Lepisosteus oculatus: one gene and its partners. The protein of the gene in region 4 interacts with the protein of the main gene of each other region in a biochemical or structural test. Links are inferred from orthologs where the notes say so. Each region holds a gene or a part of one and is shown on either strand. Other genes may lie near its edges.

Evidence for each region.
Region 1: of the proteins of gsk3ba (region 4) and klf5b, one has a biochemical effect on the other in vitro, tested with the Homo sapiens proteins (2 studies listed by BioGRID). The link is inferred for Lepisosteus oculatus from reciprocal best matches to the Homo sapiens genes GSK3B and KLF5.
Region 2: of the proteins of gsk3ba (region 4) and nin, one has a biochemical effect on the other in vitro, tested with the Homo sapiens proteins (2 studies listed by BioGRID and IntAct). The link is inferred for Lepisosteus oculatus from reciprocal best matches to the Homo sapiens genes GSK3B and NIN.
Region 3: of the proteins of gsk3ba (region 4) and eif2b5, one has a biochemical effect on the other in vitro, tested with the Homo sapiens proteins (2 studies listed by BioGRID and IntAct). The link is inferred for Lepisosteus oculatus from reciprocal best matches to the Homo sapiens genes GSK3B and EIF2B5.

Annotation. Positions count from the first base shown.
Region 1 is NC_090710.1:33,615,209-33,623,153, reverse strand, and holds the start of klf5b (Krueppel-like factor 5), read right to left. Parts: upstream 3,171-7,945; 5' UTR 2,989-3,170; coding exon 2,809-2,988; intron 608-2,808; coding exon 1-607. Other genes in the region: pibf1 (progesterone-induced-blocking factor 1), read right to left, coding at 6,906-6,959, 7,382-7,552. UniProt on the Homo sapiens protein: Transcription factor that binds to GC box promoter elements. Activates the transcription of these genes.
Region 2 is NC_090703.1:13,095,743-13,102,891, reverse strand, and holds the start of nin (ninein), read left to right. Parts: upstream 1-4,002; 5' UTR 4,003-4,028; coding exon 4,029-4,120; intron 4,121-6,082; coding exon 6,083-6,302; intron 6,303-7,149. UniProt on the Homo sapiens protein: Centrosomal protein required in the positioning and anchorage of the microtubule minus-end in epithelial cells. May also act as a centrosome maturation factor.
Region 3 is NC_090708.1:8,500,230-8,507,684, reverse strand, and holds the start of eif2b5 (translation initiation factor eIF2B subunit epsilon), read right to left. Parts: upstream 3,034-7,455; 5' UTR 2,980-3,033; coding exon 2,815-2,979; intron 1,850-2,814; coding exon 1,725-1,849; intron 876-1,724; coding exon 690-875; intron 259-689; coding exon 81-258; intron 1-80. Other genes in the region: probable cyclin-dependent serine/threonine-protein kinase DDB_G0292550, read right to left, coding at 4,665-4,919, 5,872-5,971. UniProt on the Homo sapiens protein: Acts as a component of the translation initiation factor 2B (eIF2B) complex, which catalyzes the exchange of GDP for GTP on eukaryotic initiation factor 2 (eIF2) gamma subunit.
Region 4 is NC_090710.1:19,224,065-19,231,696, reverse strand, and holds the start of gsk3ba (glycogen synthase kinase-3 beta), read right to left. Parts: upstream 3,044-7,632; 5' UTR 2,164-3,043; coding exon 2,076-2,163; intron 1-2,075. UniProt on the Homo sapiens protein: Constitutively active protein kinase that acts as a negative regulator in the hormonal control of glucose homeostasis, Wnt signaling and regulation of transcription factors and microtubules, by phosphorylating and inactivating glycogen synthase (GYS1 or GYS2), EIF2B, CTNNB1/beta-catenin, APC, AXIN1, DPYSL2/CRMP2, JUN, NFATC1/NFATC, MAPT/TAU and MACF1.

The DNA of each region.
Region 1 (7,945 bases), about 14 Mb from region 4:
GCTTCTGCTGCTGCTGCTGAACAAACTGGGGTGGCAGGGAATAGGGACCAGTGCGCACGTTACAGAACGGCTTGGCAGCAGACTGTTGGGTGCCCAAAGGAAGGTTGTTGTTATTGGGCATTGCAGATGCCATAGGAATGTTGCTATGAGGGTTAGCACAGGCCTGGCTCCCAGCAATGGGCCCTTCCAGTTCTGGGGAATTTAAGAGCTGAAACAGGGGACCCTCCTGAGGGATATCAAGGGAAGGCATTTCTTGTTTGATGAAGATACTGTTGATGTCTGCCCCTGCAGCAGAGCTGAAGACACTGGTAAACTCAGGGAGGGTCTGTGCTGCGCTGGTGCTTGGGCTGTTCGGGTGCACGAAGCAGTGCATGGGCTCAGTCTTGATCTGCGGCACCGCTGGCCTCTGGGGTCTGCACAAGCCAGTCCGAAGGTATGTGAAGTCTGGAAGAAAGACGTTCATGTTGATGCTGTATGGTGACCCTTCATCTTCGCAAAAGAACTGGTCCACCACAGAAACACTATCTCTACGAAACTTCTTTTCTTCTGGTGTTAGCAGGGGTGGTGGAGGCTGTGGCGTCAGGTACTTGTCCATCTCTGATCTTGTCTGAGAATTAAAAACCAAGAAAATCACCAAGAAGAAATTAGTGTATTTCTCAGGCAGAGAGAAATGACTCTGACAAACGATTGCAATGCTTTTCTTAATTTCACCAACTATTGAAGAAATTTAATATCTCAAAAGATAAAAATGTGTAGATTTTTAAATTCACCTAGACTGGTGTAAAAATGTTTTAAATCTGAACATAATAAGTCCAGCTGACACACTATGGAAACACCCGGTATATTCAAATTATATTCATCATAATCAATCTTCTGTGTGCCTTAAGAGTCAATTTCTAGGAACCAATTTATGATGTAGATATATCTTTAGCCTACTACTGAAGATTTAACTGCTACCACTTAAATTTTCCCTTTGGACCTTTTTAATAAACAAAATTAATATAATAAATGTAAAATAAGGTATATAAGATTGCTACTGATACATTTCATGAAGCATGAGCGTCTTAAAAATAGTGAGTGCTTCTATTTTAAACTCTGACCAAGAGTAAGCTTTGGAAGATTTGGGTTTGTTTTTTTGTCAAAACAGTATAAGTACTTCTGATCATTTTTTTTCTATACATTAATATTATGACCTTCAAATCTGCAGGGGGAACATATTACACATGACGTTTTTAAGGAAGCCAAAACAAAACACACACCAAATGTGTAACTGATTTCTGTAAATCATTTTGTCTCCTCTCTCACAGCCAATTCTGATTATTATTACATTTCAATACAAAACTGTAACAGATTTCAGTGTTTCCAGTGTACTCCTTTTATATGCATCTCTCCATTATATTTTTCAGGCATCTTTAGAAATTGCACTGTTCCGTCCTTCAGCCTCTACCTGATGTTTGAAACAAGTAGCAGAAGGAAAGCAAAAGGGTTTGTTGTTCATTAATAAAATCTCGAAAAACGTTTCGAAAGCTATGGATTGGGATGTGAGCTATCAAACGAATAAAGTCTCATGGTGTATTTCGCGTGCGTATTACAGATTAAATATTCTCATTCCACGTTTCAGCAGGGTATAATGTCAAGCTATAAAACTGTAACACTAGACTTGACATTTTGATGCCTAAACTGTAATCATTCCGTGCTTGCGCTAAAGCGCGTGTGGGTGGAAGGAGGCTGATATGTTACTAGTACAGTCATCAGCAAAACATTTATCAAGTACTCTTCAATGGACTTATGCTACATTCCCCCTTCTCTTGTAAAAACGCAGCTCACACCAAATCCCAAAACAGAATCAGCTGACAAGTGGAAAATAAGTTAAATTGCTAAGCTTTTTTCATACCACTCTGCTATCTCCCCCGATCGCGTTAAAACAAAACTAATCTTCTGTCCAAATCATGTGTGGAAATTTCACTTATTTCTCTAATGTAAGTGATATGCTCGAGTAACCGAAAAAAAAATCCTTTAAACTGGAACAAAGCGCTAGAAGTGTTCTGCTAGGCTATGGTTAGCTATTTCTGAATTTAGATCTTCCAGCTGTTCACTGCCCAGTATCTCTTTCAAAACGGTTTTCTGATTAAGGTCTGCGTTGCTGGGAAGTTTCTCCCAGTCTGCGAGCCAGCACTGCGAGTGGGCGAGGGGAGTCAGTTGTCGACGAGATGGTGGTCAAGTGCACACAGCCGTACAGCAACTGTACTGAGCGCTCACTCCATGCCAGAGACCTGGCTTCCAACTTCCAAACAGCTAAAAATGCCCTCCGCCCACACAGTACCTCCCACCTTCATTCCTACCCCGGACTGGAAATAAACATAGTTTTAAGATTCACTTACATACTATTTTCCTTTATTCATACATATATTTACAGTCGTACCAACTACGGATGTCCTTTTCTTAGTAATGATACGAAACCATTCAAATCCTGCGCGATTTTAGCAGGCTCTCTCTTCGGGGAAAAATAAAATACAAAAATAGCAATCTAAACAAAAACATCTAGACTATCACACCATATCTGATATTTATTTTAAAAAGTATTGAAAAGGAATGAAAATATCGTCACTAGAATGTCGTGTTCTATTCAGGCAGCCTTCAAAGGAGACGAAGGGACTGTTAAAATGCAAACCAAGTTTTAAACAAATACATCAATAGCTATTGAACAGTGCAAAAGAAGGCGTTCGCAAAAAGCCTGACTTTTTAACTTGTAGCTCCCAGGAGAACCTTCACTGAAAAGTTGCAAATCTAAAACTTAGTATGTCCTACCTGCATAAAATCGTTCGTTAAAATCCTGGCACTGGCCGTATTCTTCATGTCTCCAGCAAACAGCGACAAGTCTCTCTCCTGGTTACCTTCAGACAGCGTTGGTTTAAGAAGGGCATAAAACGGTTCGTCCTGCCCCGGACCCAGCCCTGCAGTCATCGTTAACAGAGTGGTAGTGGCCATGAATGTCAGCTACAGGGTGCAATACCCAGTGTGGTATATTCCAGTTAGGTTTTACTTATGCTATTCTTTCAGAGTGCAAATAGGAAAATCACACGAACGGAAAGATCTCCGGTAGATTTCGCGCGGTGCTCCACCCAGCTCGCCGTTGTTGGACTTTTCTGATCTAACATCGCCTCGGTCACTTTTTCTCTGGTTCGCCTCGGGGCGGAGCCAAGGTGATCGGATTGACAAGGGGGAGGCTAATTACTATAAACCGTAGTAGGGATTACAATCATTGAAAATCTTGAGAATACTTTATTACTCAGCGGGTTTGGTGTACTGCGGAGTGTTCAGAAGCATTCTTCAGCGAAAATGCACAAGGTCTGGATATGATTCACATCGTTTCGGGAACAAAAAGTAACAATGGTGCCACATACAGTAGTAACTTCATCAGACTCAAACCACAGCAGGTCAGTGAACGTGCGAGTAGGGTGGCACGTATTTGTTTTTACACGTGACAACATTTGTAGCCCCTAAACTGTGGAAAACATATTTATGTAATGTACTGGAAAACGAAGTACTGTATCTTTTTGTTTTTCATAAGTGGAGCTGGAGGGGAATTCCAGTTACAGCAGTTTAGTTTATTCTGAGCACCTCGGGCCAAGGGTAACTAGAAGACCCGGATCGGCTCGAAACTCTTAATGATAAAGGAATGCATTCCTATTTTTAAACGCTGTGTGTGCAACAAATCAAGACCCGGGAGACTTTGAGCGTTAGAAATATTTCGCACGGTTTTTTTTTCCAAAGCCATCCTATCCATTTAGCTCCCACAAATGCCGAAATCTTCGTTCATGATGTAGGGATAAAGGATGTCCTTTGAATTACGTCCCAACGTCTAAAATTGACCAACCACCATAGCCATTAGAATGTAAAACCTTCGGCAACTGCATCTTTAATATACATCATTTAAAAACAATTTTAACCCCGCTTTTGTTTGGGTGTGTAGTTTCATCCAGATAAATTTGAAAACAACGCCCCGGGCGATCTCATTTCCATTTAACCTGCTACACTACGTTTGCGTGCTAGATGTGAAGTACAGTTCGCAGGACCTGTGAACAGGGGATTTGTTTAAATGCTGCCTCTTTGTTTCTTTCCAAGAAGGAGGCGACATAAATGCTGTCAAGTGAAACACCCGACATACTGGCAATCGTATGATTGTGTATCTAGAAGCCAGTATTTAAAAAAAGTGAAGTATGTTAGTCCACCAGTTCAGCATTTAATGCAATTTAGGAACATCAATAGAAACTCGCAGGGTAAAACATATTTTAAAAAATACTAGCTCAGCAGTAAGATATTATAAAACTCATAACAGCAATTTATTATATTTGGAATGTCCTGTTGAGACCTTATTAAATAACAACGCGCTCCTGCTATTTAAAATGTGATTGATTTTTTCTCCCACCTTGAACAGCAGGTGCAGTTTATCCCATTTGGAAACCTTTGGAAAGAAATACACAAAATGCAAATGCACAAAACTTTTATAACTTTTTAAATACTTTTTTTTGGCTTTCCCCACATCGGTTAAAAGTGTGCAGTTTAGGTCTGCTTCATCCAGCCATTTAAAAAAGCTGTACCCGAATGACAGAAAGGAAATTATTCTAGTGGCAAGAAAATAAAAAAAATAAATTGGTAACACAGCAATTAGTGATTTGTATTCTGTCAAGACAAAATGTATTTCTCCTTATTTTCTACAGTATATTTTAGAAACTATAATCATATGACGGAAAATGCTGTAAAAGAGACGAACCAGGGGAGGACCGGCTAGCACGAGTGCATTACGGTTTATGTTAGATCCACGGTCCCAGTTACCTTGTTGGTCTGATTGTTTAATTAGCTGCATAATTCTGACATTTTACGCTCCGAGGTTATTTATCAGAAACTGCACCTTTAAGGAAGTGAATAACTGTAAAAGACCGTAGTGGAAAAAACCCGATATACGCAAAATTCAGAAAAACAATCAGGTTTAATTGTTTAATTGCCCTGCACAGGTTGGAACTGAAATCTGATGAGAAGACATTCCAAGAAATGTGCTTAGAGACAACATGACACACCGTGGCTTGCTTGGTAGTTAGTAGCTGGTCAATTTCAGGATTTCATCCAGCTGGTTTTGGAAAGATGCCAGGGATGTGGCATCAAGTGTAGCTGGGTAACTTGCTACTCAATCCTACAGCCCCTGTGAAAAGATTTACCTCCTATTCTCAGTTTTAACTGCACTTCCATGTTATATCCTCCGGTTTGTGTCTCACTGGACTCGGTGCCTTTGAGGATTTTAAATACTTGGATCAGCTTTAAAAGTATTTACTTTTGAATAAACATGACTTAATGTAATATATATATATAGTATTGAATGAGGTATTTAATACTATACACTATGTTCTCTGCTTAAAAGAGCTACACACTTAACGGTAAGAATGTACTGCCCTACAGAGTAACGAACAATGCTGAGAGTCTGTAGTAACTGGATTGCTTATTTTTCAAACCCAAGTTCCTGAGTGTCCTGAGACAGTTATTGTATTTGTTAATATCAATCAGGATTCCTAGAAATGGAGCCTTTAAGGGAAGGTGATTCAGTAGAAGAAGGCCTATAAGAAGGCTGCGGTATATGTATAGTGTAGCAGTTTGGACTTTAAACTCCATACAGGTGGGTAGGGGGTACACTGGCATTGTACATGTATGTGAATAATATGTTAATCCGATTGCCCAACCAAACAGAGCCTGCATTCATTTGCATTAAACAAAACACAATATTATAATCTGTGGGACATACTTTGGAGAAAAGCATCATCCATATTTCCTTAAATACACTTAATCATCCATCCATCTTCTAACCACTTCATCCAATTCAGGGTCGTGGGGGAGCTGGAGCCTATGGATGGGACACCAGTCCATCGCAGAGCGCACACAGACACACACTCACACCAGGGCCAATCTTCCCAGAAGCCAATTAACCTCCCAGTATGTGTTTGGGCTGCTGGAAAAAACCCAGGCAAACGTGGGGAGAACATACACACTCTGCAGACAGCAGCCCAGGTAGGAAATTGAAAACAGGGTCTCTGCTCTGTGAGGTAGCAAAGCACTAGTGCAGCACTCTGCCCCTAATTATACTGATAAGCCTTGTTAATTACCCTTTCCAGCAACAGTACAATTCTAGCTCCAAACTGTGGAAATAGTAATTTAAACAAATTTAAATAATTTAAAAGTGAACAAGAAGACCATGCTTTGAGTTTAATTAATTTGTTACGCAGCAATACTTAAAGCAGAGTATAGTGAAGAAATCATATATTCAATAAATTGAAAACATTAAAGGTTCTGCTGTGCACTTATGATTACTACTGGTCATCTTTAAATAACATCAAAACATTACATGCATGTTTTCCTTATCTTTAACAAAGTATTTCAAAATACAATATATTTATAGGCTGTAATATATAGGCTCATATTAGAGACTAGACACAATACAATTTTCTTTTCCATTTTCTCTTTTCCAGTTCTAATATACTGCCTCAAAACAGAATACCACCAACACAGTTTAATATAAACATTTCAACTAAAGTTTTAACTTAGATCTTGTGAATAACTGTGTAAGGTGAAAAATGTCTTTAAGCAGTTTGGGAGACACAAAATGCATACTGTACTGTAGATCTGTCCATTAAATAATGAGATACAATGCATTTTTTGCAACATTGGTTATTGATTTTTATTACATAAGGCATCTCACAAGACATTTGATTGACAAAGAATTAAGATGCACTGATTTTACTAAATCAATCCAGCAAATTATCATATAAAATACTGTATATGCAGCAATAAATAATGGTAAACTTCTTTTTTAACAGTACCACCACCATGATTTATTTTATGATGAAAACAGAAAATTGTCACTTATTTTTATGCTTCAGCTTTTTATACCATTCAGGAGCCTCTTTATTTGTCTGGAAAAAAAACCAGAAAGAGCTTCAGTTAATTCATTCAACAGTAAAGTGCATAATGAACTCTCTCAAAAAAGCAGTCTGACAAAACATTTCAGTGTAAATGCCAAAGAAAAGTCATAAGCATACCAGACTGAACAGCCAATCACAGTTTACTTTGTTCATCTTTCATCATTAAAACAAAGAATTACCAAATATCTGATGTTCAGAAACCATTCTAAGCACTTTTGCTTTTAGCAAAAAATTCAACAAATATTTTCCAACCATGTGAAAACACTCAGGGAAGAGTCTATTATTATTATTCCACATAGTTTGACTGACTACATAAAAGCAATAATAAAAAAAAAAACACTTCTTTGATCTTTTAATGTAAGATAATGTTTAACTTTCTTGAGAATTAAGTGTAAAATGTGTGTAATACTTACAAACAAAGTTGGTTTTGGTTTGAGAATATTCTCTTCTTCCTCTGTGTTAATGAGACCTTCTGGTCTGTATATCGCTGTTCTTCTGGTTTCTTCATTTTGAGGATGAGCCGCCCCTTCACCATAGTGTTTTTGATGCATATTAATCAGAACTTGTTTCATTATAGCCAATTCCTGTTAAATAAAATGGAAATAATGAGAAAGTCACTTTATAGCAAAGCAAAGTTAATTTTGAATTACACAAGATATTCCACCAAGCATTCTTTTTATTAGCATTTTGACTCAAAGTATTTTTGGGTTCAGTGTTATCATATTGTTCCACTAATCATTGTATATAGATGGAAAATTAAATTTATTTCACCTGTAATTTGGATGCACACATACATTTATGAATGGAAGTAAGGCCTAGAGTATTATAAAACAAACCTTCTGCCTCTAGTAACTCAAACAGCTAGTGAACTATAATCCTGTACAAGGACCGATAATCCCGACAACAAGTAACTGTTGAGGAAGTTTCCTACTGTATGTAGCACATGGTGAAAAGAGAATCTGAGATTCAGAATACTT
Region 2 (7,149 bases), on a different chromosome or scaffold from region 4:
TCCTGATCAAATACATAAGAGCCACAACACGAATTCTACGAAAACCTAATACTACGTGCTCTACGGTAAAAACTTATTCTCCAGTTGTTTAGTATTTCATCCCTGTTATTTTGTAAACTTTGTCTACGAAGCCGTCTGCATCCTAGCCCCGGTCCTTGTGTTCGTTGACCACTGGCGATTGACATTATTCTAATCCGATTCGTTCTGCCTGCTAATTCCTTTGTGGAAAGGACGCTTTACAAATGCAAATATCCTACTACGGGCAGCTAGTGGCTGCAGAAAAGTGCAACGTGGAAAATACCATGGTTTTCCAAGGGTTAAGGAATTTACCTGTTTGGGCCACTTAAATATAAATAAGGGAATGATTTACATCAACTTTCACTTTTGTTGATGCCTAATCTAGATTCCAGTATGAATTACGCAGAAATCATGAATTGTACAAAATGTTTTCATATACCAAAGTCCGTTTTCTCCTCATAATCAATATTGTTTATACAGCAATAAAGCCACTTCTTAATCATAATATTAAGAATAAATATATGTTTTTGCATTTTTCATAATTGTTGTGCTTCAGTGCCGTGTTGATTGGCTTGACTGGCAACTTGCTTTGCCGTTGCTAAGCGCAGACCGGTGGCTGGTAGCCTGTTGATTCAAGGAAGCAGGACAGATCTCTGCTGTTGTGCTTTGAAAAAGCCGACTGGGAGGCGGACTACAAATGCAAATGTATTTTGACACAAACTTATTCATTCCGCCGGCAGCTCAAAAACACGTCTCCTGACGGTTTCTTTACGTAGAACACATCAATTCTGTGTCATTTAAGTGTCCGTGTGTTATTATCTTGTTTGTATTAGTTTGAAAATAATATTTGACTTTTTTTTCGGTTTGCAGCATCAGGTTATGTACACACCGTCTTCCTATATCCGTCCTGTATTTCAACAATGACGTATAACACCAACGAAGTATTTATTTTCAAGTCTGCCCTTTTTATATATTACTTTGGTAATACTCAATTAGTAGAGGCCGCAATCTGTACGTCTCCAGTATCCATGCATTAGGGTGTATTGTTATTTGCCAGTGTATTAAAGGCAAATAGCGTTATGTACCTATGAAAATACTACTTGATTATCAAAAGTAAAAATATGTAGTATTAACAATGGGCTTTTGTCTGTTGTAACGAGGCCATCATGGTTCAAGTCATCAGGTACGATAGATAACATAAAATGTAAAAATGAAAGGATGACTGAGTAATCTCAGGAGCCTGTGTCCAGTGAAAAGGCGTATTATTGCATTGATGGTACACCTGCTTAAGCCCAAATTAACCTTGTTGTTGAGCCTTTTGTGTGGTATCATTCTCAGAAACAGTACAGTCTCATCAGTCATAGTAAAAACAGTTTCATTTATTGGATAACCAGTTTTGGTAACAGATGACCTTGAGGCCTAAACACTCTCTGTTTAGCTGAAGAAACACCCCCTTTCCATTAGCTTAGCTGGGAGAATTAGTCCATGCATTGTTTACTACATATATAACACATGGGGAAGGATTCTGTGTCTAGTTGATAGTAGATCCTTATGCATTTAGGTCTGGATCTATTAGACAGCTGAAGCACCTTGATCAAAAGTCATACAGTGAATGAAGGAAATGACCTTTTCTTCTGCTGAGTTTATATTCCCAGCCTTTCAGGATACTTATTCCCAAGTATTATGAGCGAGTACAGTGCTAGCTGCAGAAATGTCATTCACAATTCAGACTTTTAGTGCATTTACAGTATTTATTAACACCACAAATGCAGGCTTCTCGCTGGTTTACTGTCATGTAGTTGACATCCTTTTGGTGCAGAATATGATCAGTCTGCTTACAGGAGAGAATGGAATCAAAGTCATTATGTTGATTCCTGGTCTCATAAGGAGACCTGGAGCTTGCCAAGAGGTAATTAACCACCTGAGCTCTTCTACAGTATATGATGAAGGTAATTAGGAGCAAAGTAAAGGCCATAACTGTTCAAATATCTTACATGTGGATGTTAAAAAATACAGTTTTTTATTAAAAATACATATATATTTTTAACTCAAACATTTACAAATATACTTTTTGCCAATATATACATTCTGAGAACAATATTAGGTGGTATGGCACCTGCATTGCCCATTCTGATATAGAGACAGTAAATTGTTTCATTGTGTGTTTTATGAACCACATTATTAAACATCCTATCCTTTGTATCCTATATTTTGGTTTCATGTGCTAATGTTCTTAATTGCTCTGAAAGCATGAGTTATTTGCTGAGGTAATAAGTAGGGAGATGATGTTTAACTACTGTATCAACCTTGCAATCATCAGTACTAATGTATTGCAGAGTGCTAATTCACTTGTATTTCATCTGACACACTAGAGTGCAGTGCAGTGATTGCATTTAAAAAGTCCATTGTCTGCGCTGAATGGAGCTCCCTGGGCCTGCTCAAGGACACCTGGCTGATGGTGGTCCTTTTGAAGGACTAGTGCACTGCAGCTGTGAGTGGGTCCTGTGAGACAGTCTCCTCCCTGCACAGTCACAGCTTGGTGCACTCTGTAGACAGTCTGCCTCAGTCCATTTTGGTCTGCCATATTAGCTCCCAGTGAAGAGGGCTTCCAAGTTGATCACCAGGAGAAATTATACACCATCTATTTTCTAACCTCTTTATCCAGTACAGGATCCTGGCAAGCAACAGGCACTAGGCAGGATACACTCTGGGTGGGATGCCTGTCCACTGCAGGGCAAACACAGACACAAACACACACACACTCACACCTGGGACAGTTTTCCCAGAAGCAACAGAATTTATTCTGTAACTAAAACACACTTTTTTCTTATAATATAATGCATACATAGATAAATTTAAATTAGGTTTTTGATATTGTCCTTTTATCACTGAATTGTGGGTTATAGGCTCTTAAATGACCAAATCTGGTAGTTATGTCAGATAAAGCTTTACATTAATGTATTGCATTATATCACATGCTGAATTGCTGTGTGTGATCACGTTGACATAATGTGCTTTTATTAATTTGGAAACTGATGATTCTATCTAGGAAATCAGTAGTCTGTTTATTTGCTTATTTCATATCTTTATCTTTTATCTGCTTTTTTCTATTACATCTATTTATTTCCTACCCTAACATACTCCTGTGGCTGTGGAATCAGCCTGTTTATCATCACTGATCATCTGTTCAGCCTTTTGGATGTGTAAGTCCAAATGTGTTGTGTTTCATTGATGTAAATTGCATTAGACAACACAAATCCCCTTTTCTCTTCACCCCCAGTCGTGTATTTCTCTGAAGGGCTCATTTTTAAAAGGAAATTGGCAAAATCAGCTTTTTATCTATTAGATATTTTATTTTAATTATGCAAGTAAAAAGAACACAGCTGTGAAATGATCAAAACCCAAGATTTCAGCTATTTTGACACTGGGTAATTTATGACAGGGTATGTGAAGGGAAACAACTGTTTCTCTGAGATGGTTTGCACTGTGGGTGTGTGAATTCTGAGACCAATCAGAGAAGAAGTCCAGACCTTCGCATGAGGTAGAGAGGGTAAAGATCAGCTACATCTGTGTGCAACCATCCTCTCTATAAAAATGTTCAGAACACCGGAGAAGGTGTTGAATTGACTAGTTGTGAACTTTGCCTAGTTTTGGAGTTTTGAAGTCACCAGGGAAATGTTTTGCTCTCTTGTAGGTTAAACAGGGTAGAATATGCTTGTCTTTTCAATGAGATTAAAGTTAGGAGGAAGAACCATAGTGTACAGTAGCCCTCCTGTACTGTGAAGTTAGCTTTAGAGAGAAATCCAGTGAGACAAAACAGGTTACAAACCAAGTCAGAGAGGGGAGGGTTTTACAACATTGTTTGTCTTTCCTCTGAATGTGTGTAGGATCTCTACACCACACTGGTATGGCATTATCTGTCCAGACACTAAGGTACTAATACTGCTTATCTAATAGATCAGTTGGCCTTGACTGCCCAGGTGAAGGAATGGAAGTAGTTTTGCCCTTCCATGAACTCCTGTCTTAGCAACATTGGTAATCCATCTGACCACAAAAGGATTTTGGGTCTGTGTGCTGGCCAGCGAGATGTCTTAGGTCAAAGGTAAAATTATCTTTCTCACCTTGTACGTTCAGCAAACATACTGTACACAGTAGCCTGATTGTTATCCGGACAGGGACAGGATCTTGGACTGAATGTAAACAGAAACATCAAGATATACCGCTTCTCCTTCATCCTCTCTCCTGCAGTGTTCATATTTTTCTCCCATTTTAGCTTTTAGAGTAACCCACAAAAGCAAACTTTTGCAATTGCTCACAGAGGCCACCTTCATATGTTTTGAAGTAGTGGGGCTCGATCATAAGACTGAATGAGAGGTTTGCCAATGATGTGAACAAAAATTCAGGACACAGTCAGTTACATGCAAGACCTCTGAATCAATATGACTGCATTGGTGATGATGCAAGCCAAGCCAGCATATACTAAACAAATCACTTTATTCTGATAAAAAAAATCTTGAACTCCTTTTCACAGTAAGACACTACACATGAGGAACCTAGGACTATGCTCTATGGTGCAAATGTTCTGAATTTTGAAAATTATTTACAACAATAAAAATATACTATTCTGACCTATCAACATCCAAAGCTGTAGCATGGGACACAGTTAAGACAACAGATGACAATATTTTGCTGCTCATTAAAATAAAAAAACATTGTCCTTCAAAACATGAAATTGTTGACATCCATTTGAGAAAATATTTACGTAAAGATTAGTAAAAATAGTAAAGAGCAGAATAGTGTGATTGTTTTCGAAACCTTTGAAAACACAAGAAAAGCTCAATCTTACTGTGTTGGATTCGACTCAGTGATACTGTTAAAGTAAACATTTTTACACAAAAAAAATCTCTTATTTGTGCAGAAAGTCTAACATTTTTTCTGGATTGAAACAATTCTAAATATACTGCTGTGACACCAATTCAGTGATAGGCATGGATCCAATCCAGATTTATTACAGATAGATTAAAAAGATATTTCAGCTGACCCACAGTTCTCTCTTAATCAACTATTTATAGCACTAGATTGCATACATGCAAAATTTACAATGGCTGTTAGTTTACGATCTTTTTTGAAGTAGTTCTAAAAAGAAGTTAAGCAGCTGTTTACACTTTTAGTCCATGACACCTGCTTTAGAATAATCTTAGTAGTGTACATTCTCAATCCCTTCCTGCTGTACTGGGTGTTTCTGTCCCTACAGGCAAGTGACTCACCTTGTCTTATTAATCTGCTTGTTTCTATTATCCCATACCCTGTTCCTCTCCCTGCTTAGTAACGAAGTTCTTCATTGGAATTTCAACAGGTGAAACTAAGATGTCTCTGGTTGTTCAGTCAGTTTTAGTGCATCTGTGGCATTTAACTTCACAGTGGTGTCTGCTTTCATGCCTAAGTGATTTAAGTTTAAAATCAATATGGTTCATTGGAAGAATAACAGGCTTACAAGAACATTAAACTTAATTAATGTCCTAGAAGACCTGAACTGGAATTTCTGTTTAAAAATCTGTAAATTTGGTACGTCAGTTTAAGAAAAGACTCAATCATAGAATATTTCTCAACCCAATTTTCACTGGTATTGCACGGAATCTACTTGTTTGCTTTTGAAAGCTAATTTTGAGATTTTCAGTGGTCTTGTAAAGATGGAGATTGTGGGCATGAACAGAACTATTTAAGAATCTTAGAAGGCAAAAACACTTCTATTTTGCTCAAAGTGAAGAGGTCTGTTAAAAATAACCTAAGAACCTAAAAACATTTTATCCCATCTGGCCTGTTTGACTGTTAATTATTCCAGGAATCCGATCCAGCCATTTCTTGAGAAGATCCAGGGTATCAGCTTCAAAAACATAGCTGGGCAGCTTGATCCATAGTCCCAGCAAGACAAGATGACAAGAAAGCATTGTGGAGAATTTTCCTCACCAGCTGAGCGGGAAATTCTCCTCAATGCAATATCTCAGCAATGGTGAGTTAGGGTTTCCTAAATCTCTCCCTTTCTCCCTGTCATTCTTGCTCCCAGGGTGAGCGGGCAGGTGGTTCTGTGCTATGGGATGGATGAAGCCCAGCAGGACCAGTACGAGGCTCAGCTGAAGGAAGTCTTCGACAGTTTCGACACCAGCGGCTCGGGGTCCCTGGGTCAGGAGGAGCTCTCGGAGCTGTGCAGGGCCCTGCATCTTGAAGAAGTCGCCCCTACACTACTGCACACCCTGCTGCCAGAAGAGGGACTTCACACTGACAGGGTACGGGACAGCGCCTGCTGGGATAGGGTTGGGGGCATCAGCTTGTGTGGTCAGTTCTGTGTGTCTGTGTGTCCGTTTCCAGATCTAAGTGAGAACTGGCTCATGTACAGTATGTGGTGTGGAACGGGTACTGGGGTGAGGCAGCATTCTTTTACAGCTTGGAACAAGGCCATTGTTTGAGAATGAGAAGAGAAGCTACATATTTAAAGGCTGTACAACAACTAAAGGGACTTAGTAGTATACTAATTAGCTAGTAGTACTAGGTACTTATAGTAAGTGGTAGTTAGAAGCTTGGGGGCATCTCAGTAGAAAGTATTACGCATGTAAGGTGCAGGTGGCATTGATGGCTTAAGGTGTTGGCAGATTGTTCTGGACCTTACTCCTACGGGCCTCCCTCAGAGAGCAGTGGAGATTAATATGGACTCTGTGACCATTCCTCATTTTAAACACAGTGGAGTTCCACAGTGCACAGTGAGGAATTTGCTGTTTTGTCCTTAAATACCACAATAAAAACTGTATCATTTGAAATAATGGTCGTGTAATTATTCTTCCTGATATTACTGCAGGAATGAAGCCCATATTAGCGACAGACGCTGTGCTTTCTGAACAAGAGTTTATGGGGCTGCCACGCATTGAAGATCAACATCTTTCTGTGGTTCCTATGGAGGTCTCTGTGGAAACCAGCCCAAACTCTGAGACCTGGATTCCTAAGTTTATAAATCATTGTGGGAGTGTGTGGCACATTTCAGGCCTGTTCTGTGACCTTTGTGTTGGGTGGAGTGTGAAAGCAGCTGTATGCTCTATTCCCAATCCACAGGCAGCATGCCGTGTGTTAAACTGTAGTAAC
Region 3 (7,455 bases), on a different chromosome or scaffold from region 4:
TTTTACTTTTAGAAGACTGGAAGTGAAGCTTCAGACTCTTTTTCTTCATCACCTTATTAGCACTGCTAACAACTGCTTACCATTGGGAAACGGAGTTTCTTTAGCCCATGAGTCTTCTGGTAGTGAAGAACCCGCTTGCTCTTGCTGTCCACAGCTACAATAACATCGTCTTCCTCACAGCGTGACTTGTGACCAGGCGACGACTCCTTGAAAATCATGGTCATCACAGACACGTTCTTTTCTGCCTTGCGACGATTCCTACGCAGAAGAATGATTGTGGTTCATTTGTGACTTGTGATCCACAAAATAGAACGGAAGAAAACACATCATAACTAATGCAGTTCTGGAACGCAAGAACCGTGCATCCCTCTTGAGTGAGGAAAAGCGGAATGAAACTCACTTTTTTATGCAACAGCCAACTTGCTATGAACCTACAACAATCCGGCTCCTGGAAGTCTAGCATGTCAGCAGCTCTTCATTCCAGCTCAACTAGCAAATGCCTCAAGCATCTCATCATTGGCCAATTTAACAACTTCTCGCAGTGCTTCAGGTGACGCTACCGTACGCAGAGAAAACCAGTACAGACACCTGCCCTCCAGAACCAGACATGGAGAGCCCTGGCCTACAATCCATCCATACAGCAGCTCTACACGAAGCTACATACACCCTCAGGAGTTCAGGGGCTCTACCTGTGTTCCTGCAGGGCTTGGGTGACATCGATGTTGGACACCACGTCCCCATAAACAAGAAGGAAGTCACCACGGACGAGAGACTTGGCATCGACGTCCCTCAGCACGTCCCCCAGGGAACGGTACAGGTCTGACGTGATGACGTGTACTGTGTTTGGGGAGGTCGGGCGGCACCATTTTGACTTCCTAAGGAATAAAGATGGAAATAAACACAACAGATACCAGACAGCTTTCTGCAGAGCTACAAACTTAGACGGGAACTGAAGTCCCCATTCCTCAGGACTGGTAATTGAACCTCAGTAACAAAATAAATTGACTGTGTTTGCAAAATTTGACCAGTTCTGAAACAAGCACAAAATTGTGAACTTTAAGAAAGTGCTGGATAGTTGCCATGGTGTGGCAACCCCCCAGTATCTCCAGGGGGAGGGAGCAAGAGTTCCCACAAATTGCCATGTGATGCGGCCCTTCCTGCTCACTAGTCTCCACAATGAATATTGTAATGGGATGTACAAACGTATAAATACAGGTTGTACAGCAGACATTTAATTGCAGAAATGTTCCAAAGTGATCTGCATGCAGAGTTAACAGGTACTGTAAGTAGCATTTGTAGCAATATCTTGAAGTGGATAACAATATTTCTGTTGGATTCAAATAGATGTGTTCACAAGTCCGCATGATCACAACATCGTAGCGCTGCTTCATCTCATCGGACGTTTTGTTGCCTTGTTCTGAATTACAGAATATGGCACTGCGCACACCTGGAAATGTTATCTATGTTGTGATGTAAATTGGAGCTTTAACACGTTACTGTGTATATTCTACTTTCATTGGATCTTGAAATGCACTCATCAATGCTAATTCCTTCTAATCCCAAACTATAAAAATAGCCCTACAGTTCCCCTTTAAGGTTGAATTTAAACGTAATATGTAGTTCCTGTGAAAAAAAAGCCATAAAACCTCACTGCAGATGAGTACAAATCAGTTTGAGATGCTGTGAAAACAAATCTCTTTTTACAAAGAAGGGACGTTACTCACAACAAGTGCTCTTTGATTTTATTCGACATCCAGCAACAAAAGACAAACGTTTCCTGGACACCAGTGGCGGTGAGGCATTCCAGTGTATAGTCAATCATGGCCACATTGGCCAGTGGGAACAAAGCCTGAATGACAGAAAAGCAACTGTCAAACAACCACTTCACATAAAGCATAAAGTTAAATATTCAATATTAAATATTCAGTAGACAGTAGGATGATTAATACAATTCAGAAACCAAACATAGTTGTAGCACTGATATATAAGAATGTCAGTCAATGTTTCAAATATATTTGTTTTTCCCCCCCCAAAATCAACATTATACCACTTTACAATCTTAATACTATAATTTAACATACTTCTGGGAAAATGAACATTTGCTATACTATCATACCACTATTATGAATTAATGTGAATTCGTGTGAATGTAATCAATGGTTAAGGATCCAGTTGCCGTTTCCTGAGTAAGAGATAAACAATACCCATACAGGGAGATAAAGTGAAAGTGCAACATACTAATTTAGTAAAATACTACTGGCATGAAAAACGTACGTAGGATTAATGTTATGAGCGTTTTAAACATAATTCTAAACCTAGAGTTAGTTTAGACCCAACGGGGTTTGAAAAAAGAACATTATATTTTGGACTAGAGCAAAAAAAAAACATTATATGCTGTCCCGTAAAGCCTCAGTCACAAAATTAGTTACAATGAAGCAACATAGAACTTGTACGCAAAATGTTAACGGGATACAGTTTTACATTTCTACTTTTAGAAGACTTTTCTGTTGTTAGTTATGTATTTGTGTTGCACCTGTCCCTATACATAACACGAATAAATAAATTAGAAGGTATGGAACGGAGTAATTAGAATATACAGAAATAAGAGAAAACAAAGCACTTGCTAAAGTACTGTAAGTCAGTGCGATGAATACTAGGCGATGAAAACCTGATGTCAACAGAATATGCAACGTAATATTTTTATTTAAAAATCAAGAAGCGTGCAGTCAAAACGTAAAACACAAAACGAACGTTGTTGAGAAACCAGCTTTGCATTTCATTTCACACACAGCCATGTGCACACGCCACACTGACCCTGGGCTGATCTTTAGAAATGGGGAAAAATCTCCGGGTGAAGCTGTCGGCTATCAGAACAGCCTGAAGCGGCTGCTCCTCCTCTTCTTGCCCGGCAGGACCCTTTCTGTTCGCGCTGCCAGTCGCATTGTTGGCACGGCTCTGTTTCCCAACTCTACCTGCCATGTTTCCTTGCTCGTCTCCTCTCCTGACGATCGCCAAACTACGGCAAGCGCGATGGGACAAACGTTGCCTTTGTATATGTGAAAGGGGAATACCAGAAAACTCATTTGAGTTTCTTTTTGTAGACCTTGGGTTAAAATAAGTCACTTATTTGTCAGACCAAATGCTAAACATTTAACATGATAACTATAAGATTGGGTAAAAGATATTGGGAAATATGTACAATGCAAACAACATACTTTCTTTTTTACTTGTATAGGCTTTGAGGATTATAAGATACTAAATGAACTACAACTAAAAAAGCTAAAATAACTACAATATCTTGGTATCAGCGTAATAATGTGAAAAAAAATGTGTGGGTTCATATATTGATAAGATCATAATTTAATTTTAAACATTCTGTGCCACATATACAGGGCAGCATGGTGCTTACATGTATTTACTTATAATTGCTTACACTTACATAGCACTTTTCTGGACACTCCACACAAAGCCCTTTCAGGTAACAGGGACTCCCCTCCACCCTCACCAATGTACAGCATCCAGAGTGATGCAGCCACTACATAGATGGGGATTATTAGGTAGCCATGATTAATAAAGGCCAATGGGAAATTTGTCCAGGATGCCAGGGTGATGCCTCTACTCTTTTCAAAAAACACCCTGGGATTTTTAATAACCACAGAGAGTCAGGACCTCCGTTTTACATCTCATCCAAAGGACAGCACCTGTTTACAGTATAGTGTCCCTGTCACTATGCTGGAGCATTCAGACCCACACAGACCGCAGGGTAAGCACCCCGCCTGGCCCCACTAACACCTCTTCCAGCTGCAACCTCAGTTTTTCCCAGGAGGTCTCCCATCCAGGGACTGACCAGGCTCACACCTGCTGAGCTTCAGTGGGTTGCCAGCTGCAGGGTGATACAGCTGCTGTATGCATGTCCTCCCTCTGTCTGTGTGGTTTTTCACCTTCTACTCCAGTATCCTCTAACCTAACCAAGACATGCAGGGCAGGTTTGATTGGGTGTCATAAAATACAATATCTGTTTTATTTATCCCCAGGGAGGGTTTTCAAGGAGCTTCATACTTTTTGTGTTTATTCCCAGTAGGGTACTACAGATAATTTTTTTAATTACAAGAAATCTTTCTTATTATTCCAATAATATGAAATCCAATACACTTTCAGTAGTTTTCTTACTTTAATTAAGTAGAAAGTGAGTATTTAGCTGTAAAGTAAACCACGTAGGTCCTTTCCATGCTGAAAGGTAAAAAAAGAGACACAATGTTTTGGCTGTTGGAGAGAGGAGGAGAAGGTAGCAGAAAATAAGGCATAGGAGGAAAAAAGAAAGAGTAGTTAAGACGGAGCGGTGATCAAGGAGGAATAGGGCATGTTGCAGGTGAGAATGAGTATCCAAACTCAGGATGAACAGATGGAGATGTGTGAAAAGCCAAAATCTGCAAAAGAATAGAGGGGATTTAAAGGGGGCAAAAGGGGGCAGGTGTGATCCTAATTTCAAGATTATTTTGGTTTCGGATGTCTTTCTGCAACAGGAGTTGGACCCTTACCCCTCTGTGAGGACCCAGACAGAGAGATCAGTGTGATTGTAGCGGAGCTAGTTCAGACACGGTGACGTCATTGCCCTCACTGCGCGTAGCAGGGACCTCAGCTGCCTGGGCTGAGGGAGGTCTCCTTTAGCTCATGCGGCTGGTTCCCTGTGGCGTTACGCCAGTGACTCGGGTTCGCGCCCCAGGTGCTGTGGCACGAAACGGGGTGGCGGAGGGCACAAGCCCGTGTGGAACCACGACGGTCACATGATCATGGCCGTCGGAGTTGAAATGGGGAACTACGAGTTTGGAGAGATCTTTGATCCTCACGGCCCTGACATGTTCCCTGAAACGGTCTCCTAGTCTCCTTCCTGCCTCTTCGGCATTCGGAATCAGCATTTTCTGCATTAATGAGGTTGCTGGAAATACATGATGTCATCTGAGTGAGACGGAACTGTCCAAAGGGTCCTTGATTGTGCATAGTATTGGATATGTATTTGCAGGAGATGCAGCTGGTTCTGTTGCAGGGGAAAGAGTCTGGTGTGAATGGTTGCTGTGGGAGGTTAAGGGAGCTGTGAAGAAGAAGATTGTGCAGATGAGGTGGTCAGGGATACGAGGAGGTCAGTGATGGGGAGGTCAGGAAAGAGGGTAACAGCAGAGGGGTCATCCTGTAAGATGGGTAAGTTGTTATTAATGGTCCTGGGGATAGAAAGGGTGTTGGGGTGGTAGGGCATCACCACTGAAATGCAGAAGTTCGGTACTTCCTATATGGGTTGATGATCTGAAGACCATTTTGGCTCGAGTGAGAGTCCTGTCAATAACATGTATAGGGTATCCTCTGTTAATGAAAAAGAGTGCATTCTGAGGGCTTGGTTATGGAAGTCCATGTTGTCTTTGCCTGAGGTGCCCGAGGAACTGTGAAAAGGCGAGAGAGTTTTTAGTATGTGTGGACTGAAAGGAGCTGTACAAGAGATAACGACGTGAGCCAGTGGGTTTGTAATCGACAGAAGTAATTGGAAAGGGAATGGAATTGGTCAGATAAAACATGTTTCAATAAAGCACAACAGAATGCAATATAGACGAAGAAAAGTTAGGGAACTAAATTAAAGCCTTATGATGAGATCTTAATAAAGGTTTAAATTACATTCAATTATGCGCTTGCTGTAGACAATAGTAAGTCAGGGTAGTAGTCTGAATCCTAAAATTGAGTATCTCTTGCTCAGAGTTCTAGGTTTATATGAGTTCTGCCCCTGCCCCCACAGAACGAATGTAGTTCAGTCCAAGATGATGCTGCTGATCAGAAGAAACCCTTATCGTAGTACAGTACAAGATCAATGTACATTCAACCACTCACTCTTTTGCCAGCTGCTTCATTCGATTCAGTAAGCTCGCTTGACACACACAGGCAGACACACACACTCACAACCAGGGTGTACAACACAAATAACTCACACCTGGAAGAAACTCACACAAACAGGGGGAGAACATACAAACTCCGCACAGATAACATCCCAGGTCTGGAACTAAACTCAGGGACCCCAACCACTGTGCCCCAGTGCTGGCCTTATTTCTACTATTTATTCAAATATACTGTAGTTAATTGACGTAGCTACATTGTGCCTGTTTATAACAAAGTACAGTATATGCAAAGCATGGATGTAATTAATTGAAGACTGCTTTGTATTTGCTGGAACAAATACTTATGTAAATGTACTTATTTCATACAACCAATGAAATACACTGGATCAACCTGAACTGAATTTAATTTCATCCAGACCTCCTGAACAAAAATCTTCTGAGGAGGCCATTAAGACAGGGAAAGCTTCCGTCTAATTCCTTTCAAGGACAGTGAAACGTTGTTTTGCAGGTGGTCTCCAATGATGCTCTTAATCTGAAAGAAATTAGACCTCGTTATTTCCTTTTTTTAAAACTTTTTATAATCAATCTGGGATTGGAAATTATTTCCTTATGTCTCCTTTACAACGTCTATCCAGAGGGAATGAACATGGGGCAGACAAGCTCCTCTGACCTCCATCAGAGACAAATGGCAGTCAGTGCAATGATCTGACTGCAAGGCTGCAGGCAACCAGCCAGACACAGGAGCTGCTGTTCCATTGAGAGCTGAGCGAGTGCTGGGTGGCTAATCACAATGATTCCTGAGATGACTTTCTGCCAATTGTGTGTTGTCACTTAGTAAGTCACAGTGAGCTAGGGATGAAATCCGGGCTCAGGTGTGTTACTTGTGGGTCATACAGCTCAATGTGAGCATCATTATTGGTTGAACCAATCAGAATACTGAAGTCTCAATGTTCTGAGGGCATAAGAATTAATAAGATTTTAATGAATAAAGTCTGATTCATAATTCAGTAAAATCATTCAAATATAAACCAAATCCACAGAATTTTCAATAAATAATTGTAAAATCTCAGTATTGGAGCAGATGGCAATTCTGTAAGAACCCCTACTCTCTTATTTATACATTGATAGCTGTGTCCTTTAAGTTAGTTCTATCCCTTTACATTTAGCCTAATTTAAAAGTACGATGTTATCATATTTTAATTCTATTAAATTTTAAGCAATATGTCCTTGGACATCCAACTACTACATTAATGCTCTTTCTTGTTTAAATTGCTGTTAATGAGGTGTTAAAACAGCACCTTCTAATTAAACTCATTGTGTTAGAAAAGATTGTTAACCTTCATGGACCTATGTTTGGAAACTTAAAATGTGAAGCTTCCAGAACAGGTCCATGAAGAGCAGCTTTCCCAGCCACCTCTGCCTCTACAGACTGCTGTACTTACCCCATTTAAAATAAGCCTTTCTGCTTCTGCATCAATGTTTGAAAAAGCAAGAAGAGTCAACTCCATCCTTACAGAGGCAGGCGTCACCACTGTTATCACAGGAGAAACAAACAAGTATGCCATATCATGAAAAACTA
Region 4 (7,632 bases):
ACCTGCAGAATTTACAAAAATACATCCTCTTGCAATGAAAAAAAGCTCCGTTTTGGAAAGAGTAAAGGTTGCATATAGAAGCTAGCACTGTAGCACGGAGGTTAGGGTATCCAAGTACAAAATATTCCCAAACAAATTCTGGGCCACTCAGTCCACTATCAACCAAAAAACCAAAGCGAATATCGGGACATCAGAAAGGCCAGAGACGAGAAGAGACCATCCTAAGCAACATCAGAATAAATAATCAATCCTAAATTGCACGTCCTTGGGAGGAAACCAGAAAACCCAGTAACAACATGCCAGGTATACCCAGACAGGTACCCCCCCCCCCCCGAAATCGAACCCGAAACTCTGGAGCCAAGAGGAACTGTGCTGCCTTCATGCCTTCCAGGCGTCCAGACACGAGCTTCCAACCTGACTGCATTGCAGGAGCTGTGCCAAGATCTACTACTCAATTATTCAGCTGAACCAACAGCTGATCAGCTAAAACGATCAAGTCCTGGAAGAAAGTATGCTGGCAAGGGATGCTCTCTCCAGCATCCCAGGCTTGATTCATGCTTCACACCCTTATTCCTACAGAGACAAATCCTTACTAATAAATGCAAAGGAAATCTGCACGTTTAGCAGGTGAGCAAGGGATCTGTCAGGACAACCCAAGACATGGGATAATTGACCTGGACCTTTCTGGATCCTGGACAGGCAGTGTTGCATCAGTGGGAATGCACTGGTGCCAGGTTCAGCTTCCTATCATTTGGTAAGGATGAGGCAACACTAAACTGGGGGTGTGCAGTTCTGGTCCTGGAGAACTAGTGCGTCTGCAGTTTTCATTCCATCTCTTAACGAGCTACACCAGCTAGTTAACGGCTTAACTGGACCTGTTCAACAGCTCCGCCCAGCTCTTGAGTTACTACTACTTTAAAGACAGCTTGGAAAACCATGATACCCCAGGCTGTCCAGGACCAGGAGCATCACATATCCACACACAAAGAACATTCAACAGATTAAATCCACACACCTCAGACCAAGTTTTCAAACATTAAACGTGATATTGAAAACCCATACACCAGTCAACGCAATCTTTCACAGCCTTTAACCACAACATTCAAAACCCCTGCCCCTTCTCTGCGGAAAACGCGGAACTCTCTTTCCCTCCCCGTTGTTGCAAGCTTGTCTTCTAAATTCAGTATGACACATATTTGTGCCAAACACAAACTTCCACCTAGCTCCTCAGACAGAAAGCCGTCTTCTTTCCCGCGTGAGATATGTGGAAGGGTGCCCGACACCAGCACTGAAACGCGGTATTAATAATTCTACTGCTTGAAATAGCAAAGGCAGTACAGTACCACCCACACAACTAGTCAATGGAAGGGGATGTTAAAATTGTGGTGCGGAACTGTTTTTACTTTGTCGTGAATTATTTTCTTTTGAGCTATAGCAAGGACAACAAATACAGCAGTTAAAGGATGTCGAAGTGTCCTTCTGGCATTAAGTGAAATACGGTTGCACACTACGCTCGCCTTGTTACTCTGGCAGACACTCGGAGCCCAGTCTCTCCAATACTGTTGGTTTATCACCAATCCACTTCCTCGATGAAGTCACACAGAACTGATTATCAGCGAGGAATCGGCCTGTAGCTTTAACGCCTGACAGATGCTACATCGCAGACTGTGCAGCATGATCATCAAAATCATTTTGCACGAATCCGTGTGAACAACTGGTTCTACATTACTCTTACGCTTAGCGGTCTTATTCTAAGCGTCTACGTGTATTATTAAAATGCACGTTTGGCTTATTAGGGATGCACTTCCGTATCGAAAGCACCGTATCGATTATCGATACCGATGTCAGACCTCAACCGTGCTACGAAGGGGCCGGCTTTCTCGCCGAATAAAAACGCCATAGACCGCATAGACAAGTAACACCATCACCTCTCGACCGCCCAAGAAAAAAAAAAATCTAACAGCCAGAGCCCAAGCGTCGTCAATTCAAATCGCACGATTCAGTATGACAGACACACGCTCGCCGCCGGCGCGGCCCGGGCGCTGACAGTCGGACGCAGGCTGGGTGACACTTACTGCTGACTTTCATGCTGCCAAACGCGGACGGCGGCTGCACCGGCTTGCAGCTCTCCGCGAAGGAGGTGGTCCTGGGCCGTCCGGACATGATCCCTCTTCACCGATCTCCGTCTCCCCCACCCCTCTCTCTCTCTCTCTCGCCGCCTTTCTCTCGGCCGCTGCTGCTGCTGCTGGGATCAGATCTGTCGCTGCGGTCTTCCCCCCGGTCGGAGCCGACGGCCAGCGTATCTCGGCAAACGGAAGCAGCTCCCCACGGCTCTCGGCCCCTTCCCGGTTTCACTCGATTCCTGGCGTCTCCTGTCCACCCAGACCCGGGTCTCCTTTCAAATCATCCCTTTTTCTCCCAGGGAAAAAAGGCCCCTTTCCTTGCTTCGTCTTCTCCTCCTGCTCCAACGATCAGGCCTTCAAAAGAAAAACGTCTTTGATTTCCCAGTGTCTCATGGAAAACGGCTAACCTTTCTCTCTCCTCCCCCTCCACGGTATCTTCTATCTTTTTTTTTAAAAAAAACTCCCTTTAATTTATTTTAAGGAACACAAGGTCGCTTAGATCTTTTTTATTTAAAAAATCGGATCCGATTTGCTTTTCTAAAACGCAAACTTTCTCTTAAAATATCGCCGATTACACAAGGCAGCCACGAAAATCTGCTTCATATTCTGAGGTGGAGACTCAATGATCCGACAGCTTCAGCCATGGCGGCTTCCTTGCTCAGCCCAACCAACAATTCAAATGAAAAATTTCCAATTTCCCGATTTTAAATCAAAAGATCTCCCCAGTTCTTCCGCCTCTTCCGGCCCCATACACACAGATGTTATAATCTGAACTCTCTGGGATAAAGCCGGGGGTCGAAAAAGTGCCTTAGATGCCTAGTTAAGTGGGAAATAGCAATTTTGCCACTCTCACAAATTCAGAATTTCTTTTTCTATTCCGTCTCCGTCTGTCTCTGTGCTCGCTCTCTTTGTCACTCCGACCCGCACAACGTCATTTGCGTAATGTACGGACAAAGGCGCCACGGCTAATTGCGAACAGCGTGGGCTACGTCACCAGACTGCAGTAGCTGCTGTGCGAGAATCGGACATTGTGAACGCGCAAGCAGACGTGAGGAGGTTCTGTCAGCCAATCTGGAGCGAGACGGGCGGAGAGATCCGGGGGTTGAGGGCCAATGGGACTGCGCCCCCCCCTCCTCCCACCTCCCATGCCCCCATTTTTCCGAAGATAGCCGAATGCCACCAGCTGTAACGAAAACGACCATAAATAGGTAACAGAGGCGGGCTGAGGTGGGTTTGCGTCAGGAGTGACTGAGCAAAGTCCAATCGAATTTTAGAAGGACGCCGGGTGTTCACCAATCTCGTTGGTCGTGAGTGCAAATTACGCAGCAAAGAGCAAGGCCGCTCTAGATTAACCATAGATATCCCATATCATGCTAGAGTCAATTACGTTAGCGTACTTCAAAATGGGCGCCATCTTTAGAAGGTTAACCTAACTGTTGGTAATTTGGACAGATATCTAAAAATGTGCTCTGCTTCTATGTCTACTCTCGCAAATGTGAGGCAGGTGTCAGTTACAGGAAACATTTCTTTAATATATTTGTGAACTGTCCAGAAGACATCAACATGGGGGTGTAGCAATACTGCAAATGAAACAACTGGGAACACCATGGAACTGCATTTAAAATAGAACACAAGGAGAATAGGAATTTCTTACCACAGAGATTTGTGGGAGTTTAAAACAAGCTTCCCACCTGTGTTTGTCCTCCTCTTGTGTAAACTTTCTTATGTTATTTTCTGGTGAAGACATTCATTAGGTTTTAACATGTTTGTTAATAATAATTGCTTACACTTATATAGCGCTTTTCTGGACATTCCACTCAAAGCACTTTACAGGTAATGGGGACTCCCCTCCACCACCTGGATGATGTGACGGTAGCCATAGTGCACCAGTACACTCACCACACATCAGCTATCAGTGGGGAGGAGAGCAGAGTAATTAAGCCAATTCATAGAGGGGGATTATTAGGAGGCCATGATTGGTAAGGGCCAATGGGAAATTTGGCCAGGACGCCGGGGTTACACCCCTACTCTTTTCGAGAAACGCCCTGGGATTTTTAATGAGCACAGAGAGTCAGGACCTCGGTTTTACGTCTCATCCAAAGGACAGCACCTGTTTACAGTATAGTGTCCCCGTCACTATACTGGGGCATTAGGACCCACACAGACCACAGGGTGAGCGCCCCCTGCTGGCTCCACTAGCACCTCTTCCAGCAGCAACCTTAGTTTGTCCCAGGAGGTCTCCCATCCAGGTACTGACCAGGCTCACACCTGCTTAGCTTCAGTGGGTTACCAGTTGTGAGTTGCAGGGTGATATGGCTGCTTTAAGATATGGCTTAAAAATATTTATTAATGGTGTTTTAATAATTTCTATCAACTAAAGTATCACCACTATTTATATCATTTGTTTGTATTGTTAGCAACAGTATGGTGACTATTGTAAGACAGGGACTTGTGCATGCACATTCTCTCACATAGGTACGAACAGTGGAGGTGTATATAGTGCTGGGTTGTGGGATATCTACGAGTTTGGCAATTTGTTCATGAGGTGTTGTGCAGAAGGGGCTACCATATCATTTCATGAGTGGCCTGCGACAGGTTTGAGCCTGACGCTACAAAAGCAAAAAACAGAGTCATTCTCTGGTGAAATAACAGTGATCACTGCTTGTGGTTTTGAGCGAAAACAGTCCACGTTGCTTAAAATACGTAAGCAACTTTATCACTAATAAGCAGTTAAACATGTTCTGCACACTACAGGATCCCTGACATCAAAGCCTGCATTAACAAGGGCTCACCTCCACTGTTTTATCAGAAGATCCTGTGGAGATATTCAGGTACAGTTAGCCATTTGCTTGCTCATTTTACAAGATGTTTATAGTGCCATATACAACAAGGAAAACAGTCAGGCACTTCATCAATATCTGTCTTGTATTGTTACGATCTTTTCAGGCAAAACATAATATTGTTCAAGGGGGCATTGTGTTTGTGGGTTTGCTCGGTCTCTACAAAGCACACTTGAAGAGCCAGGAAAAGCTAAGATAAGATAAGAAGCTGTTCCAGTTGTGAGAAAATGACCTGATTGTGGTTGTTTAGAGCTGAGCTGAAAACCTGAAGACAAATCCACTGCAGGCAGGTGTCCATTTTTTAAGTGTTGTTCAGTTATTTAATTCAGCTGGTATTCACTCAGCAAAAGCATTGCTTCAAAACTCCTGACAGCATGTGGAAACAGCATGTGTGCAAATTCTCACACAAGGCCAGACTTTTCATGTGAATATTCACATTTAAAAAAAAGTTGTATCCATATTCAAATCAGCATGGATGTTTGTTGAAAAAGATTTTAGAAGCCAAAGTGAGATGTGCTACATCATCGCTAGAACAACGTGGATATTGGCTCCAATCTCCAAAGCATCCCAGCTTAGTTTCTTCCCTTAAAATAATACTGTAAAGACCATGCGCCCCCTAGCTGCAGGAAATGGGACTTCACTCTAGGCTCCAATGGCCCTGTTTGCCATACAGGCACTGTGGGAGCACAATAAAAATTATAATATTAATAATTGCTTACACTTATATAGCGCTTTTCTGGACACTTCACTCAAAGCGCTTTACAGGTAATGGGGATCCCCTCCACCATCACCGTAAGTAGTACAAGTTGTACAAGCTGTAAGTAGTTCTAATTGTTACCCTCATTACATTTGATTGCTGTTCGTGCTGCCATATTCTGTTAAGCTGCGTGTTTTTCTTGTTGTTGTCGCATGTTTACAGAGTATGTGTGAGGGGTGTGTGGAAGGGGCTGAACCACTGTAACACCCCGCCTTCATATCTTAGAATGTGGGAAGAATGCAGGAGTGTGTAGCAGTGGTCAGGATTTCTAAACTCGTAACTGGAAGATTGTTCAAACCCTAGGTTAGTCACTGTAATAATAATAAGAATAGTTTATTATTATTATTATTATTATTATTATTATTATTATTATTATTATTATTATTATTATTATTATTATTACACTTATACATGGCTTTCTGGACACTCCACTCAAAGCACTTTACAGGTAATGGTGACTCCCTCCATCATCACCAATGTGCAGCCCCCACCTGGATGATGGCAGCAAAAGTGCACCAGTACGCTCACCACACGCCAGCTATCCGTGGGGAGGAGAACAGAGAGATGAAGCCAATGAATTCACAGAAAAGGATTATTATGAGGCAGTGATTGGTAAAGGCAAATGGGAAATTTGGCCTGGATACCAAGGTAAAACCATTACTCTTTTTTAGAAGTGCCCTGAGATTTTAAATGACCACAGAGAGTGAGTACCTCAGTTTTAAGTTTCATCTGAAGGACAGGGGCTCTTTTTTTACAGTACAGTGTCCCCATCACTATCCTGGGGCATTAGGACCCACACAGACCACAGGGTGAGTGTTACCTACTGGACCCACTAACACCTCTTCCAGCAGCAACCTTAGTTTTTCCCAGGTCTCCATCCCAGTATTGACCAGGCTCACACCTGCTTAGCAGCAGTGGGTTGCCAGTTGTGAGCTGCAGGGTGATATACCCCTGAGCAAAGTAGTTGAGCTATTCCAGTAAAATACACAGGTGTATAAATAGGTGGAAATGTAAGTCACCAAGAAATAAAAGTGTCAATAATTAAATTAACTTGTAATCTCCATTGAAACTCTACAGCAAAGATACCCAGTCCATGTATCAAATGTGAAGGCTAAACATAGATGTCTATCTCCACGCCTGCTTATTGGAGTGACAGAAACTTTCAGCGTATGCTGTGTGTAACGAATACACCCCTGCGTATGACAGGGATCTCAGTTGCCCAGACTGGGGAGGTCTCCTTTAGCTCAGCCGGCAAGTTCCCTGTTGCATGACGCCGGAGACCCGGGTTCGAGCCAAAGCACCGAAGGACGAACTGGCAGGGCAGGAGCGGCAAGGGAGGAAACCCCAAGAACCCTTACATGTGCAACTAAAGTGTGTATTAGCTGGACATCTATCACCTTGAAGTTTGTTGTGGTCGATCTCTGAAGCTGACTACAGCTAGTTAATATGAGCATAAAAAGCCCCTTACTGTACTTCAATCCAAAGCTACAAAGTTCTCTTCGCCCAAGCATTTCAATGCAGATTTCACAAATTCACTACAGACAGCAAAATGAATCATGTTGGATACTTTAATAAATTTCTACTTTAAAACCTAATGGTCTGGATGATGATTTTGAGTTAAAAAGGTTTTCTGCGAAGATGATAACATTTATGAATAGGCCTTTTACAATACATGTTGACTTAGATTTGTCACTGTCTTTCCCCCTCAGGTACATCATTATTATTCTTTGACCAACTGACCCTCTCTGCATAATACATGCTTCACTGGTTTAAATGAATTCACAAGATTTTTAATCGCGAAAACGTTTTTGTCTTCATAATTGATTGCCGCTCTCCGTACCATCCCATACCTTAAGCTATTTGACCATTATTAAACTGCACCCCTATGACCGACTACCTTTTCTGGGTACAA